Notamacropus eugenii: one gene and its partner. The protein of the gene in region 1 purifies or fractionates together with the protein of each later gene. This does not show direct contact. Links are inferred from orthologs where the notes say so. Each region holds a gene or a part of one and is shown on either strand. Other genes may lie near its edges.

Region 1 (7,387 bases):
GGGCAGCACCATCCTAGTCATCATTAACTGCTTCATACTTCTATCTCTCTCATCCTACATACCCAATGTAGTGCCAAGCCTTGTTTCTACCTCCACAATCTTTCTCATATATACCCCCAAAACAGAAACAATTGCTATTTACCTTCACTCTGAGCCAATCAGGGCCCAAACAACGACCAAGTGGGATTTGGCCTGGAACCTATTATTGGCCAATCAATGAGAATCAGAGTAATTTAGGTTTAAGACATGGTCCTTAAGAGAGAAATCTAGCCCATAAATCCCAAGATATCTTGAGAGCTTTTAGGGATTAAAGTTTACATTCCTTTAGGCACAGTACCTGAAGTTAAGTATATGGTACCCTATGTGGAGAGAGGTAAGGGAAGGGAAGGAAGGAAGGAATGAAAGAAAGGACCTGTGTTGCCCAACTGGCCAGTTCCAGTTGGATTCTCCAGTGGGGCAGATCCTACTGCTACTACTTGTGATTTGTCCTTCATTCTCAAAGAGGACCATGACATCAAGGAGATGATACCATGACATGCAAGTAAATTGGATTTAAGTGAGGGAGGGCTATGCAAAGTCACCAGCCTCACTTTCTCCTCCAGAACTATCTGGATCCAGTGGTAAGGTATAAAAATCAGTCTGGAGATGGCCACAGATGCAGCAGGAGACCTTGACCTTTTTAAGTTAAGGTCTTTCCCAGGTCTTGGCTGACTGAGACAATACCCATTCAGTGATGAAGGATAGGTAAGAAATGAGACAAAGAGTGGTCTCTTTTACCTAGTCAAAAAAAATCAATCTGACAGGGGAAGACCCTCAGGGTTTCTGGCCAAAACTGAAACAATTTCTATTTACACTCACTCTGAGCCATTAGAATCCAAATAATGATCAAATGAGGCTTAGGTTAAGACCTGTTGTTGGCCAATCAATGAGAGCCAGAGTGATCTGAGTTTAAGGCATGGTCCTTAAAAGAAATCTAGCCCGTAAGCCCCAAGATGTCTTGCGAAATTTCATTGATCAAAATTCATGTTCCTTTGGGCAGAGCACCTGTAGGTAAGAGTGTGATTCTCTATGTGAATAGAAGGAGAGAAGAGAGGAAGACAAAGAGAGAAGGAGGGAGGGAGGGAGGGAGGAAAAGAAGGAAGGAACGAAGGAAGGAAGGAAAAAGCTGCATTGCCCAACTGAAACTGGCCAGCCCAGTGGGGCAGCTACTACCTACACACACAGGTTGTTGTTCCTCCTTCATTCTTGAAGAGGACCAGTGACATCAGGAAGGTGATAATATTACTTACAAATGAATTGAATTTAAGCAAGGGAGGGCTGTGCAAAGTCACCGACTTCACTCTCTTCTCCAGAACCATCTAGGTCCAGTGGCAAGATTTGGATAAAGACAACTAGGGATGGCCTCCCATCACGGCATCTAAATTCAAGTTTTTTAACCCCAAATCCTGTACTCTTTCCATTCTGCTACACTCTGTTTCAACTGGCATCCAGTCATCGAGGAGGCAAAGGGACAGACAAAAACTCATATGGCCTAGGTCACTCATCTACACGGTTTTACTTGAGGGGTCTCTGAGATCATATTTGACCAAAATATCTTTCTCTCTAGAATCTAGACTCCTAACTTTACATGCTGCATCCCATTGTAAGAAGCCTTTATGTAGCTAACACATTGAACAAAAAAGTCAGGATCTAAAAGATGTCAGCAGGCTAGAATCAAATCATTTGAATTTTGTAGCAATAAATGCTACATATATTTGGGTTCAAAAATTCATCTGTACAGCTACGGGATGGGGAAAGTATATCTGGAAAACAGTTCCTATGAAAAATATATGGATTATGCTGCTAAGAAATGATGAAGAGAATGGCTTCAGAGAAACTCAGAGAAACTCAAATGAACTGAAGCAGAATGAGAAAAACAGAACCAAGAGAGCAAGTTATACAATAACAGCCATATTATAAAGACAAATAACTTTGAAAGACTTAGAACCTCTGACCAACTCAATGACCGACCACAATTCTAGAGCATTCATGATGAATCATATTACCCACATCCATATAGGGAGGTGATGGACTCAAGAGACAGAGTGATTCTTTGCCTCTTTCTTTCAGACACGGTCAATTCAGGAATTTGGGTTTGGTTTTTTTTACTATATATGTTTGTAATAGAGATCTTATTTTTCTTGCCTTCTCAATCAGTGGTGAGGTAGAAGAGAAAGAATGTAGCTCTACAAATAAAGTTTAATACGTTTTTTAAAAAGAAAAATATCAGTGATTTTAGAGGACTACAAGTAGTCAACAACAGAATATGTTACCCTATAAGACTCACAAGATCTTAGACTAAATTCAGTAATCGAAACAAAGAAGGTGACAGTCCTAACCAGACCACATCTGGAGTAATGTGTTCACTTCTGGGCAATACATTTTAGGAAGACAGGGTGTGTAAAGTGAAGGATGATTAGAATGTTGAAAGACGTCTAGAGATCATGTTATATTATGAACAGTTGAAGGAACTGGGGATGATTAGCCTGGAGAAGAGAAGACTAAAAAAAAACCATGACAGCTGTTTTGAAGTATTTGGAAGGCTGTCTTGTAGAAGAGGGACTAGATTTGTTCTGTTTGGCCTCAAAGGGCAGAATTACGAGTAATCATGGATGTTGTTGAAAAGCAGAGTTGAACTCCACAAATGGAAAATTTTTTCTCAAAATTAGATCTACCTTCAGAAGGATCTGTCTTCAGGAGTTCAAATTTGATCTCAGACACTTACTAGCTGTGTGATCCTGGATAAGTCAATTGCCTCCCCCCACATTCCCCCCTCAAAAAAAAAAATTAGATCTGTCCAAAAGCAAGATAGGCTGCATGAGTGATGACTCAAAGTCTTCCAGCAGAGCCTGGCTGATGTCATCGAAGTTTTTACCAACTAGACCTGTGATTCTGTGAAGAATTGTTACTTGTCAGGTTTTACAGGATGGATAGATAGGAATTCAGCAGGTGAAAAGAGGGAGACATTTTGAACATTAGGAAAAAGTCTTAAGTAAAGTCACGGTGTGATTGACTGTATGGTAGAGTACTTGCAGCAGAGCTATAAGAAATAAGGCTGGAAACATAGTGTATCATGATTACCGGGGACCTTGAATGCCAAGTAAAGGATTTTGAATTTTCCTAGAGATTTTTGAGCAGAGGAATGACATGGTCATATCTCTTTACATAAGGAAGAGTATTCTGGTATGTGAAGGATAGATTAGATGGGAAAAGGTGGACTGGAATATCCAGTAGGAATTAATGTAATAGTTCAAGTGGGTGGTAATAGGAATCTGGACTAGGATGGTAGCAGTGGAGACGGAGAGCCCAAGAGATTCTGCCATAGTATCAGACATTTGGGGCATGAAGGGGCCTGAGAGATCATCTAGTCTAATCTCATTTTACAGACTTAGATCCAGAAAACAGCCCTCTTTTCACTGTATTACACAGTAAAGTCTAAAGTGCTATATTAAATATGAGGGGTTTTTTTGGTCTAGATTTATGATCTCATTCATGTGAGGAAACTCCCTCTCACCATTGCAGACTGCCCACTGATGTGCAGTTACAGTCTGAGCGAGTTGCTTGGGGACCTTAAAGGGTTAAATGATTCGTCTGAGACCACATAGCCTACAAGTCAGAAGCAAGATCTGACTCCGAGTCTTCCTGACTCCGCAGCCCCGTTACCAACACCACTCTGAGTCCAAATCTAAGTTGTCATTATTCACCAGCTGGTGAAATGGGTTGCCCTGAGCCATCTGCAGCATCCTCAGATTCTGCTTGTGACCAAGACCAGGCAGCGGAATAAACTTAGGGCTGCTGTTAGGTCAGTTGTCCTTGGGGTACAATAAAAAGGCTTAAGATGGTATAAAGCTAAAGAATAATAGCTAGCACTTGTAAAGTGGCTTTAAGAGGAAACTTGAAGAGGCTGGCTGTAAGCCAGGAAGTGTGCGAGGTCAGATTTGAACCTGTCTTTCTGACTAGAGGTCTGCTACTCTATCCACTGTCCCTGGTGGCTGCCTCTTCAACCAGCACTTATTAAACACCTTCTGCTTGCCTGAGAGGCGCCGTGATAGTGGGCAGAAGGCGGATCAGGGTCAGGAGGAGCTAAGTCCAAATTCTGTCTCTGACCTTTGTCAGCTCTGGGACTCTTGACAAGTCCCTCACGACCTCGGATTTCCTATTTTACAATGAGGACTTTGGACCAGACGGCCTCCTTCAGCCCTAAGTCTCTGACCCTGTGTCTGGCGCTGTTAGTAATACTCGCCCGAACGCTAGGATTCGAACTTTCCAGCTGGGAATGTGATTCCCCTTTTACAGATGAGGAAACCGAGGCACGGAGCGGTTACGGTGAGCGGCGCGGGCTCCCGCGGCTAGTAAGTAGCACAATTGGGATTCAAACTGTATTTCTCCAATGGTCAATCTAGCACGTTTTCTATTAAACACTACCGGCTTCTGCGGGTTTGGGAGGAAAAGAGAGGAGACACCTCCTCCTCCTCCTCCTTGTGAACAGGTTCGTCTCCAAGGCAACCAAAGCCCACGCATGCGCACGGTCACTCTTCCTTCCCGTAACCCCCGGAAAGCATCCGGTAAAGACTGGCGCATGTGCAGTTTCTACCCGCTGCAGCTGCCCCAGCCTGGTCCGGGCCTCCAGCAGCCGCCGCCGCCGCCCCCACCTCTAGTCTGGCTCAGGATCTCTCGGCCTTGGCAAGCACTGAGCGGAAATAACGCCCATTTCTGATAGGTCACGTTCTCACCAATCACCGCTCCCAGGAGGCGGAGCGACTCGGAGGGGGCGGGCCATTGAGCTCGCAAGTTGGGGTTTGCTCAGGGCCCCGCCCCGAAAGTCAAAAGTCGAGTGGAACGCGGGGAAGGAGCCGCGCGCGGCGAGTGGCGGTGGAGGGGCGGGGCCCGAGGCCGACTCGGCTGGAGCCTGGGGGCGGGGCCGGGCGGGTGCCCAGAGCCGTCAAGTGAGGGGATCGAAGCCGAGCGGCAGCGGCCACGGCGGCAGCGGAAGAAGACGAGAGAGCGGCGCTCGGGGCCGGCAGGTAGGCGGGCTGGCGCGCTGACCCCGGGGCAGGGAGAGTCGGGCCCCCTGGGCGTCGGGGCGCGGATCTCCGCTGGAGCGCCGGCCCTTCTCGGGGATCCTGGGCAGCGAGGCCCTCCAAGCTGCCTGTTCCACGCCCCGGCGCCCGCGCCCGGCCCCGTCCCTCAGCCTCGGGGTCCACATCTGGCGGGGGACCTGCCCTTCGCCCGGGGCCACCCCCTCTTCTCACCGCCTCCTCGGACCACTCAGCCCCCCTAAGTGGGGGTGTCCGCAGACGTGCCCTCGCTGCTCCCCGGCCGCTTGTCTGTGGAACGTGGGCCAGCCCCCTTAGCCGTTCCCAGCCCGCCAGGTCACCCTGCTTCGTAAAGCGAGGTGGGCCCCCTTCCTTCGTAAACCGAGGCGTGTGAGTTGTTGGCAGTCTGAGAGCCCACCTGACACCCTTTGGCCGTTCCTGCCCAAGCCCACGCGTCTCACCGCCCTAGCATCCTCCCTCCAGAGCTCCGTCCGTGCGGGACCCTGGTCCTGGAGCCTGGAAAGCCCACGTCGGGAAAGCTTCGCGGATTCCTCCCCGGGCCGCCCAGCCGAGGCTCTCTGTACGGGGCGCTCGGCCGGCGCAGTCTTCCCTTTCCCGTCTCTCCCACTCTTAAGTCGAGGGGCATGGCTACACGTTACTACCCAGCTAGAGACGTTCTCGTCCCCGGGTAGCGATTCCTGGTGGGCTTCGGCATCCCCAGTAATCAGAAACCTCAGAAAAGTGCTTCCCCCTACGGGGGGTAAAAGAATACTCTCAGTCCTGAGTAGCAAAGGAATAAATGAGAGGGAGGGGGCAAACGGAGCGAAGGGAAAGGAGTAAGGACTCTCCTAAGGGTCGTCTATTGACAGTCAAAATGTAAACAAAGAATCCGGTTCTTTAAACGCGCGTTCATCCAGAGCCTACCGCGGGTCAGACGCTGCCCTAGGCCCTGGGGATACAACGGAGATCGAGAGAGCTTGTAAAACATCCTGATGATTTAACAACTCGTGTGAATGCAAATGAAATGTAGTGCGGTAGCGCAGAGGGCCCCTGGAGCCATCGACACTGTCACTTTAATGGTTATTTCAGTGGAGATTCACAACCTCTTGTCTAGAGCTGGGTCTTTCAGAAAAAACTTGCTCTAATTCTGTTCTGTTCTTGCTCTATTCTACCCCATTATAAGCTTCTTAAGGGCAGGGACATAATTTTAATAATTTTATCATGATAGTTTTTGTTTTATTTTATTTTGAAGGTAACGTAAGCCTGCAGAGTGCTTTGCATTTTAATTCAACAAGCATTTATTAATCACTTGTTATCATACGAGGAACTGTGCTAGACTGGGGATCCAGAAACAAAGATAGATGGCCTCTGTAAGCCCTCAAAGAACTTAACGTTGTAACCAGTAAGCCCTTAGTAAATATCTTTGTTGAATTGAGCTTTTCTAAGAGTTTTCATATTGATCTTATCTTGTCTTTATAACTTCTCAATGAGAAAGGTAAGACAGAAAGAAAACTGAACTTTTAAGGTGGCACAGCTCGTTAGTGGCAGAGATAAGATTCCAGAGCACAGGTCTCTTGACTCCTATTTCTAGGATCCATCAACTGCACACAGTTTTGTAGATTTAAAATCTTGGAGTGGAGGAAGAAATGTTTGATTTGGAAATGGGAAATCTTGACATTAAACCCAACTATAGTATACTGTCAGTCAGTTTAGTCATTAAGCACCTACTATGTGCACACTTAAAGAGGGATGCTTGCCTTAATTGAAATGGATTTATTGTTGGTGGGTTGTTTTGTTTTGTTTTGTTTCCCAGAAATCTTACCTTCTGATGTGTTTTTTAAGTAGACCTTAGTTTAGCAAACACCAATTCAGAGGTTCTTTTTTATGTCATGGACCCCTTTGGGCAACCTGATGAAACCTATGGACCCCCCTTTCAGAATAATGTTTATAAATGCATAAAATAAATACATAAGATTACAGAGGAAACCAATTATACTAAAATACAGTTTAAAAAAAATTTTTAAGAAGTTCACTAGACCCCTTCCTGTTTGGATCAACCCATATTATTTTTATCTCAAAGGGGATAATTCTTGAAGTGTTCTCAAAACATAATGAATTGTAATTTCCTTTTTAAAATTAATGTACTTTAAATTTTAAAATTAAGTGCATTAGGTTGCACTTAAAGGAATAAAATGTTGCTTTCATCAAAAAGGCTGGCGATCTCTGCTCTTGATCACACAACTAAATAGGTTTTTAGTTTGTAAGGAGCAATTCTGAAGGACTTTTTAAAGCCTTCAGAAAGAAGGTAAAAG
Region 2 (7,023 bases), on another chromosome or scaffold:
CTTATGGAAATCATTCCACCCCATATTGACTATTTATAAATCAAATTAGGAATTACATAGAAAATGCTTTACAAGTCTCAAAACACTATACTCATTGATTTTTATTTTGCCCTTCCCTACTACAAAAAGTTCCTTGAGGCCAGTATAGTGGGAAGATTGTTGTTTGTCCTTCATTTTCAAAAAGGACCATGTCATCAGAAGGGGATGCCATGACTTTTGAGTGAATTGGATTTAAGTGAGGCAAGGCTGTGCAAAGTCACCAGCCTCACTGTCTCCTTCTGAGCCATCTGGGTCCAAGGGGAAGATATATATCAGGACAACTGGAGATAGTTCTGATGCTGTGGAGGACTTTGACCTTTTTAAGCTAAGGTCTTTCCTGGGTTTCAGCTGGACTGTGAGGCAACACCCATTCAGTAATTAAGGTCAGGTAAGAAAAGAGGCAAAGAATGGGTTCAGTCAAAAACAAAAAAGTCTGGGAGAAGACCCTCAGAGTTTCTGGCCATAGGGGCAGTTAGAAGGAGTATACACAGAGGGCAGGGCAGCAGGATATAAGTTTACTTTGATGGGATGGTATAAAAATGAAGATGGTCTCCCCCTCTCTTATTTCTTTTCTTTTGACCCTCTTCTCTCTCCCATCCTCCTACAGACCCAAGAGACAGAAGGAACTTTGGAATCTCAAGAGCTCTTCCTCCAATTGGTACTCTGCCCTTCCTGCATTCCCTCTCCCCAAGTAACATACATACACACACACATACACATACACACACTATCTAGATGACAGACAGTTGGGGATGGGGAGAGCTCTTGAATGGAGCCACCAGGGAATGACTAGGGGAATTCTGAGGCTGGAAGACAAAAGCCAGTCTGGGATTCAGCCCGCTGGCAGGGAACCTAAGGGCTCTGGAAGAATAGGGTGCAGGGAAGCAGGGGCCTGGGTAAAAGGAACATGAACACTTAAGTGTCAGCATATTTCAGGTATGCAACTGAATCTGGAAAAACAGGAAGACTGTGTCCTGAGGTTTAACTAGAAGATGGAGAGGACTCCTGGGACCCTCTGGTAAAGCTTGGGCTTAGCATTGCTAAAGGGAAACTGGAGACCAGGAGCCAAAGTTTAGGATCTGATAAGGGAGCAGCTCACAGTCACAGGTCCAGATAAGGGGGTCAGTCAAAAGCCTTGGTTCCTGCATCCAAGGAAGGATCCTGGGGGCAGAAAGGCAGAACTGTGGAGATTCATAGGGACCCAGGTCAGAAGGCAGGACAATCCACTAAACTGGAGCTGGGGGCAGAGGGAAAATCTGAATGTGGGGTCAATGGTAAATATGGGGAAGAGGGTGACAGTGGATATTTGGGAAGTGTTTGACAGAATGTAAAAGAGTTAGGGGCCAGGAACTCATCAAGTTGCCAGACCTGGGAGGATATGGTAAATGTGGAGCAGACTGCCATGAGGGTAGATGAGGATGAGGACAGCCCAATGGCAAGAGCAGCCAGCAGAAGCCAGGTGTGAGGAGCCCTGGTTTAGACCTCCCTGGGACCTACATCAACAAAGCTAGCTTCCAGAAGTCAAAGTTATATCTCAGCTCCAAGATATGATGGGAAGAAGCCTGAATCTGGAGCCAGCAGACCTGATTGGCTATGTGCCTTTGAACAAATGACAATATTTCAGACTATATTTTCTTATCTGTACAATAGCCAACCTCATGGCAATATCATGAGGATCAAATGAAATTCTTTTTCAGACTAAAAAGTACTACACAAAAGCCAGGCATGGTTAAGTGAATCATCTTCCCATTCCTTCCTTCCCTCAGGGAGCACCAGCAAGTATCATATTCATAGGCAATCTACAAATATTTTAAGTCAAGATGGGCGTGGCAACATTCTTTAAGATAGGTTCAAGTGAAGAATGCAGACCGTGCAGATACATTCCTACGGTCCTTATCAGCAGCATCCCGGTTGGGTCACCAAGTTACAGATGCCTCGGAGTCCTTGGGGCTCCTGATTCGGGGCTCCTGCTGGTCTCCTTCCAACAGTACATGGAAGGAACTCAATAAATGCTTGCTAACTGACCAGAGGGGAGTAGAAATCATGTGTACACGTGTATGGGGGTGGGCAGCCGTGAAGGGGACAAACCCTTTCTCTCTAGATCGTCCTTCCTACCAGTCGGAGCTGTGGAACGAAGATAACTAGGGGACCACCACATCGGAACCCTTCCCAGGTAAAACTGCAACATGCTCTCCGCAAAAGGTGATAGCAGGGGCAAGCAGAGAGGCTTGGGCGGGAAAGAGGGAGAGGCCCCTGTACCTGGCTGAGGCTGAACTCGTCCTCCTCGTCGGGGGGGATGCCATAGTTGCCCACGAGCGGATAAGTCAGGACCAGAATCTGGGCTTTGTAGGAGGGGTCGGTGAGGGCCTCCGGGTAGCCCACCATGCCAGTCTGGAACACTGCGGGAAGACAGGCGGGGGCAGCTTTCAGCCACCTGGCTCGGGGGAACTGGCCAGGGCACCAACCTGGGGAGGGTAGCGGGTCCCGCCCGGGGTCGAGGGAGGGAGAGGGCCTAGGAAGCCTGAGCTGGAGGGCTTACCCACTTCCCCCGCGGCGCATATGGCCGCGCCAAAGGGCTGGCCCCGCAGCACCGACCCGTCCTCCAACACCAGCGCCGCCATGGAACCGGAGCCGTGCCCCCTGGGAGGGCGCAGATGGCAGCCTGGCGGGGCCCACGTGCGGAGCGGAGCAGCGAAACGCGGTGGCGCGGCGGCCCGTCCACGTGGCCCGCGGCGGCGGAGGCGGCAGAGCCGGTCTAGGATCCTCGCCTCGCTCCCGGGTGGCGGGAGCTGCGGCTGAGACGGCGCCGCCGAACCACGTCAGGGGCGGAGCCGAGCGGACGCAAAGGAGGCGTGGCCAGGTGATGTGCCGTGACGTCACCGAATCTGTAAGTCCGGGGAAGAGATGGTCCGAGGTTAACTCGCCGGGGACTCGCGGGCCTCCTTTGGGCTTTTGCAAGAATTGGGAGTCATTTTCTTACTGCAGCCTCACGCAGTGCAGCCCAGAGACACACGCACACGCACACACAGAGCACTTTCTTTAAAAGGGGGGATTTTATTAGGGGCAAACCTTACAAACACTTCTGACTTCAAGCCTGGTCTAGCAGCCACCAGACCACCAGTGGATCCCAGCTCTCTCCACCCCCTACTTCTCTGCACTCTAGGCCAAGGCCTGAGCTGCGCAAGGAAACTCCCAGGCTGCGCCCACCTAAGAGCTTCTTCGATTTGTAGGTCCGAAGGAAAACTTGATTCAAGAGGCTTTGATTTTTCGAAGCTGGGTTCCCCAGAGCAAGATGGAGATGCAAAATGTGGTAGTGCCCAGCACTCCAGAGAACATGAGGAGAGGGAAAGAGCCCTGTAAGTAACATGCCATGAGGAACAAGTGTCAGCAGACAGAAATGTAAATTTTGTCATTCCCCCTCCACCTAAGAGGCTTCCTCTTCATGCAGTTTGATTCCAAATGACTGCAAGTCCCAAACCCACTTCCCACATCTCATTCCAAGCTGGTTCATTTCCCCACTTTTCACCTCACGAAGACACTTGTAGCCATGGAAGCCACTAGTACAAAGACACTGGAAGAGGCCTGGGCCATCAGGGACGCAATATGCATTCTCTGGGCACAAAGCTGCAGCAGGAGAGAAACTATTGTACATTAACAACAGATTCATTAGGTAGTCAAGGCTACGCATACTTCTGCTCCAACCCTAAATCCTTCAAAGTGCTTTCCAGGTCAGGAGCAAGGATAGAAAGGATGAGACTGATTATGTCCTTTACCTACATGGGGTGAGGATCTTGAAAACATGGGTGCTAATCACAGTTGGGGGTTACTTTCCCTTTTTCAAAGGGCAGAGTAAGGGAAGTTAGGCAGTTTCTAGAAGGAAAGAAGTCAAAAGTCATACCTGATTCCACAGTGTTATTGCACTGATTTCTTTGCTTGTAGCAGGTACAGCTGTCGGTGCCACAGGTGATATTTTCCCAGGCATAATATCCTCCAGGACAGTCAACTTTCAGTGGCAGTACCCTGAACATAACATACAATTGTCATGCCATGCAATCAGATGTTGCTGATCTCATTATATGTTTCCTACCTCATTCTACTCACAGCGTCTGGAGCTCTGTGAAGTTACGAAAGACTGAGGTAGATATATTCAGGAGAGGGTTTGCTTGTAGGTCCCTGCAAATCAAAAATACCCACTGTTACTATGCCTTACCTAGAGAAGCTCCCTGATTCCATTTGTGTGAAATTAATATTTCTCTCTTATATTTAAGAATTAATTATTGTGTTAGGACCAAGGTTTTCCCCTTTTCTACTTCCTCATCCAGAAATCAACCAGTGTGGGAAGTCTCTCTTAGAGATTTACCCAGGTCAAGATCTAATTAGACAGTAAAAAAATTCTTTAAGAAAGAAATTTCTAAGTGAAGCTAATGGGTATATCCCTGCTTACTGTGTTTGTTAGACAGGCCTGGGAAAATGTTGATTCTCCCTACAATCAAGACAGTTGATATGGAAATTGATGTCTCTTTCACCAAGTTATGAGTGACCTAAGTCACACAGCCCAAGACAGCCCACCTCTCACTGTGTTAACCAATCAGAGGTGATTAGGAACCCCTCAGGAAACTTCAAAAGGCATATAAACTGTGACCCCGCAGCCATTAGGAGTCTTTGATCTAAGAAAGACTGCCAAATGACCAAACTTTTCTTAATAAACTGCTGGCCTTATTAAAAAAAAATGAATAAATTACCCCAAAACCATGTCTTCCAAATCTTTTTAATTGTCATACACTTCTATTTCTCTTAGCACCCATTGCCCATCCTGGACTGTCCAGATTGAAGGACCCCCACATTTCTCTCAGAAGGGCTCCGTCCCTAGTTACCCAGCTCTGTACCCCTCTACACTTATGTCTTCTGGGAGGAAGGCCCCTGAGAGCACTTACAGAACAATGGCAGAATGTGCCTCAGCAAAGAGTGGGTCCAGTTCTTTCAGGGAACAATTCTGAAGATCTAGTCTAAAAGAAGAGAAAGTCAGTGCAATCCTGTCCTTTTTGCCCTATCCACGACTTTTTTTCCCATCAGCAGAACTATTTTGACACCTGTCTTTTTGTCTCCTTTTCTAGTTAGCCATCATTTATTGCAAACCAGCTGTGCTCCATATTAATCTTTACCTGTCTGAGACCAACCTGTCAGAATATTTGTGCCTATTAGGAAGTAAGGAGAGGGCTCTGTGCTTCTTATCTAGAAAAAGTGTCTCAAATCTGTCACCAGATCATTGGTGACTCATTACAGGATGGTACAAAATGCAAGTTATATAAAAATGTAAGTTTTTGTTTTTTCTCAAGTACAGATGTGAATATCCACTAAACTGCAAAATCCTCAGGGTCTGAGACTATGCTCTAGTCTTGTTTTTCCCTCAGTATCTCTTATATTTATTCAACAAATATATACTATGTAATAGTACTATGCACTATTACACTGGCAGATGTAAACAAAGAACCCTGATCTCAAGGAGCTTGCAACTTATTGGAGGGAGAGGACAAGAACAAGACACAAAAAACAATTACAAAAATTACGTGGGAGTTTAAGAAAATATAACAATGTCACAAGGAAGCATCAGATATCATGTGTTACAAAGCTACAGAAGATCAGAGAAAGGGATCAGGATGGGCTAGAATGATCACTGAAGGCTTCATGAGAGAGATAAGACTGGCTAGGATGGGTATAGAAAAGTATGGACAATATCATGGAAAGAAAGAAAAGCATAAGCAATGAATGTGCTTGGGAATCAGTGAATCTGGCTACAGCCACATTCATACCACAGAGCAACTGTTAGAAAGAAAGCTTGTGTCCAGAATGCCACGCTTGAGAGTTTATGCTTTATTGTGTTGGCATATGAAATCTCAAAGTTGCCCTGGCAACAAAATAAACAAGTCAGAGGATAGAAAGACTGAAGGGAAGACCAATTAGGTGACAATAAAGATACATGCATTCAAGGCTAGATTATGATGATGCCAAAGGGAATGAAGAGTAATAGACTGAAACAGATAAGAGAGACAGAATGAAGGCCGAATGGACTTGGTGACTTACTGGGGGCAAAGTGGAGGGAGGAGTCAAAATAATTAGAAGGACACCTTTAGACTTTGCATTTGAAACAATTCCATGAAAAGTTTAGCAGGTAATTGGAGATATACATGTAACAGTATTTTGTCTTTTAAAAAAAAAAGTACATTTATTGGTACTCTAGAGAAAGGAACTGTTATTGAAATTTTTAAAATAAATTATTTTAGGAGCAGAGGAAAGATGTAAAAAACGTTTATAGATCAAAACAGTTAACACAGTCACTGAATAAAACAAAAAAAAAGCTCAATTTCAAATATAGAATGTGGAATGCAGTCATATAACTGAACTCAAATCAATTATTGATTTGTGTTCAGTTGAAGAATACAGAGACATTTTGTAATACATTCAAAGGATATATTTCTGAACTTGAAACATGTGGTCCTTTTTGCTTCACACCCAATGTACTTTTACTTCAATGTACTTTTACAAGTTTAATAGCAAGTATTGTCTGTAGAACTGCTGGGTGAAACAGTGGATAAAGTGGCAGGTCTAGAGTCAGGAAGACTCATCTTCCTGAGTTCAAAGCTGGCCTCAGACACTTTCTAGCTGTGTGACCCTTGGTAAGTCACTTAACCTTGTTTGCCTCAGTTTCCTCATCTGTAAAATGAGTTGGAGAAGGAAATGACCACTTTGGTATCTCTGCCAAGAAAACCCAAAATCAGACAAGACTGAAAACACTAAACAACTATCTAGCTAGGCCAAAAGTATATACTTTTTTATGCAGAGACAAATGGGACAGGTGGTCCATAGGGCATTCCCTAGCCAAAATGGCATAAGGATTGAAAAGTAAAAGGACCATGTGTTTGTAGGTTTGTATTTTAGGAATGAAAGATGATGTTTCAAATCCCATAGTTTTATATAATTACACAG

Evidence for each region.
Region 2: the proteins of MAP3K14 (region 1) and CAD purify together in Homo sapiens (affinity purification with mass spectrometry; 3 studies listed by BioGRID and IntAct, with this or other methods). This does not show direct contact. The link is inferred for Notamacropus eugenii from reciprocal best matches to the Homo sapiens genes MAP3K14 and CAD.

Annotation. Positions count from the first base shown.
Region 1 is NC_092873.1:348,496,324-348,503,710, forward strand, and holds the start of MAP3K14 (mitogen-activated protein kinase kinase kinase 14), read left to right. Parts: upstream 1-4,368; 5' UTR 4,369-4,391; intron 4,392-4,464; exon of another isoform or gene 4,465-4,843; intron 4,844-4,955; exon of another isoform or gene 4,956-5,063; intron 5,064-7,387.
Region 2 is NC_092872.1:528,464,464-528,471,486, reverse strand, and holds the start of CAD (multifunctional protein CAD), read right to left. Parts: upstream 3,011-7,023; 5' UTR 2,661-3,010; coding exon 2,579-2,660; intron 2,439-2,578; coding exon 2,299-2,438; intron 1-2,298. Other genes in the region: ATRAID (all-trans retinoic acid-induced differentiation factor), read right to left, coding at 3,289-3,393, 3,566-3,663, 3,938-4,059, 4,141-4,212, 4,974-5,045. UniProt on the Homo sapiens protein: Multifunctional protein that encodes the first 3 enzymatic activities of the de novo pyrimidine pathway: carbamoylphosphate synthetase (CPSase; EC 6.3.5.5), aspartate transcarbamylase (ATCase; EC 2.1.3.2) and dihydroorotase (DHOase; EC 3.5.2.3).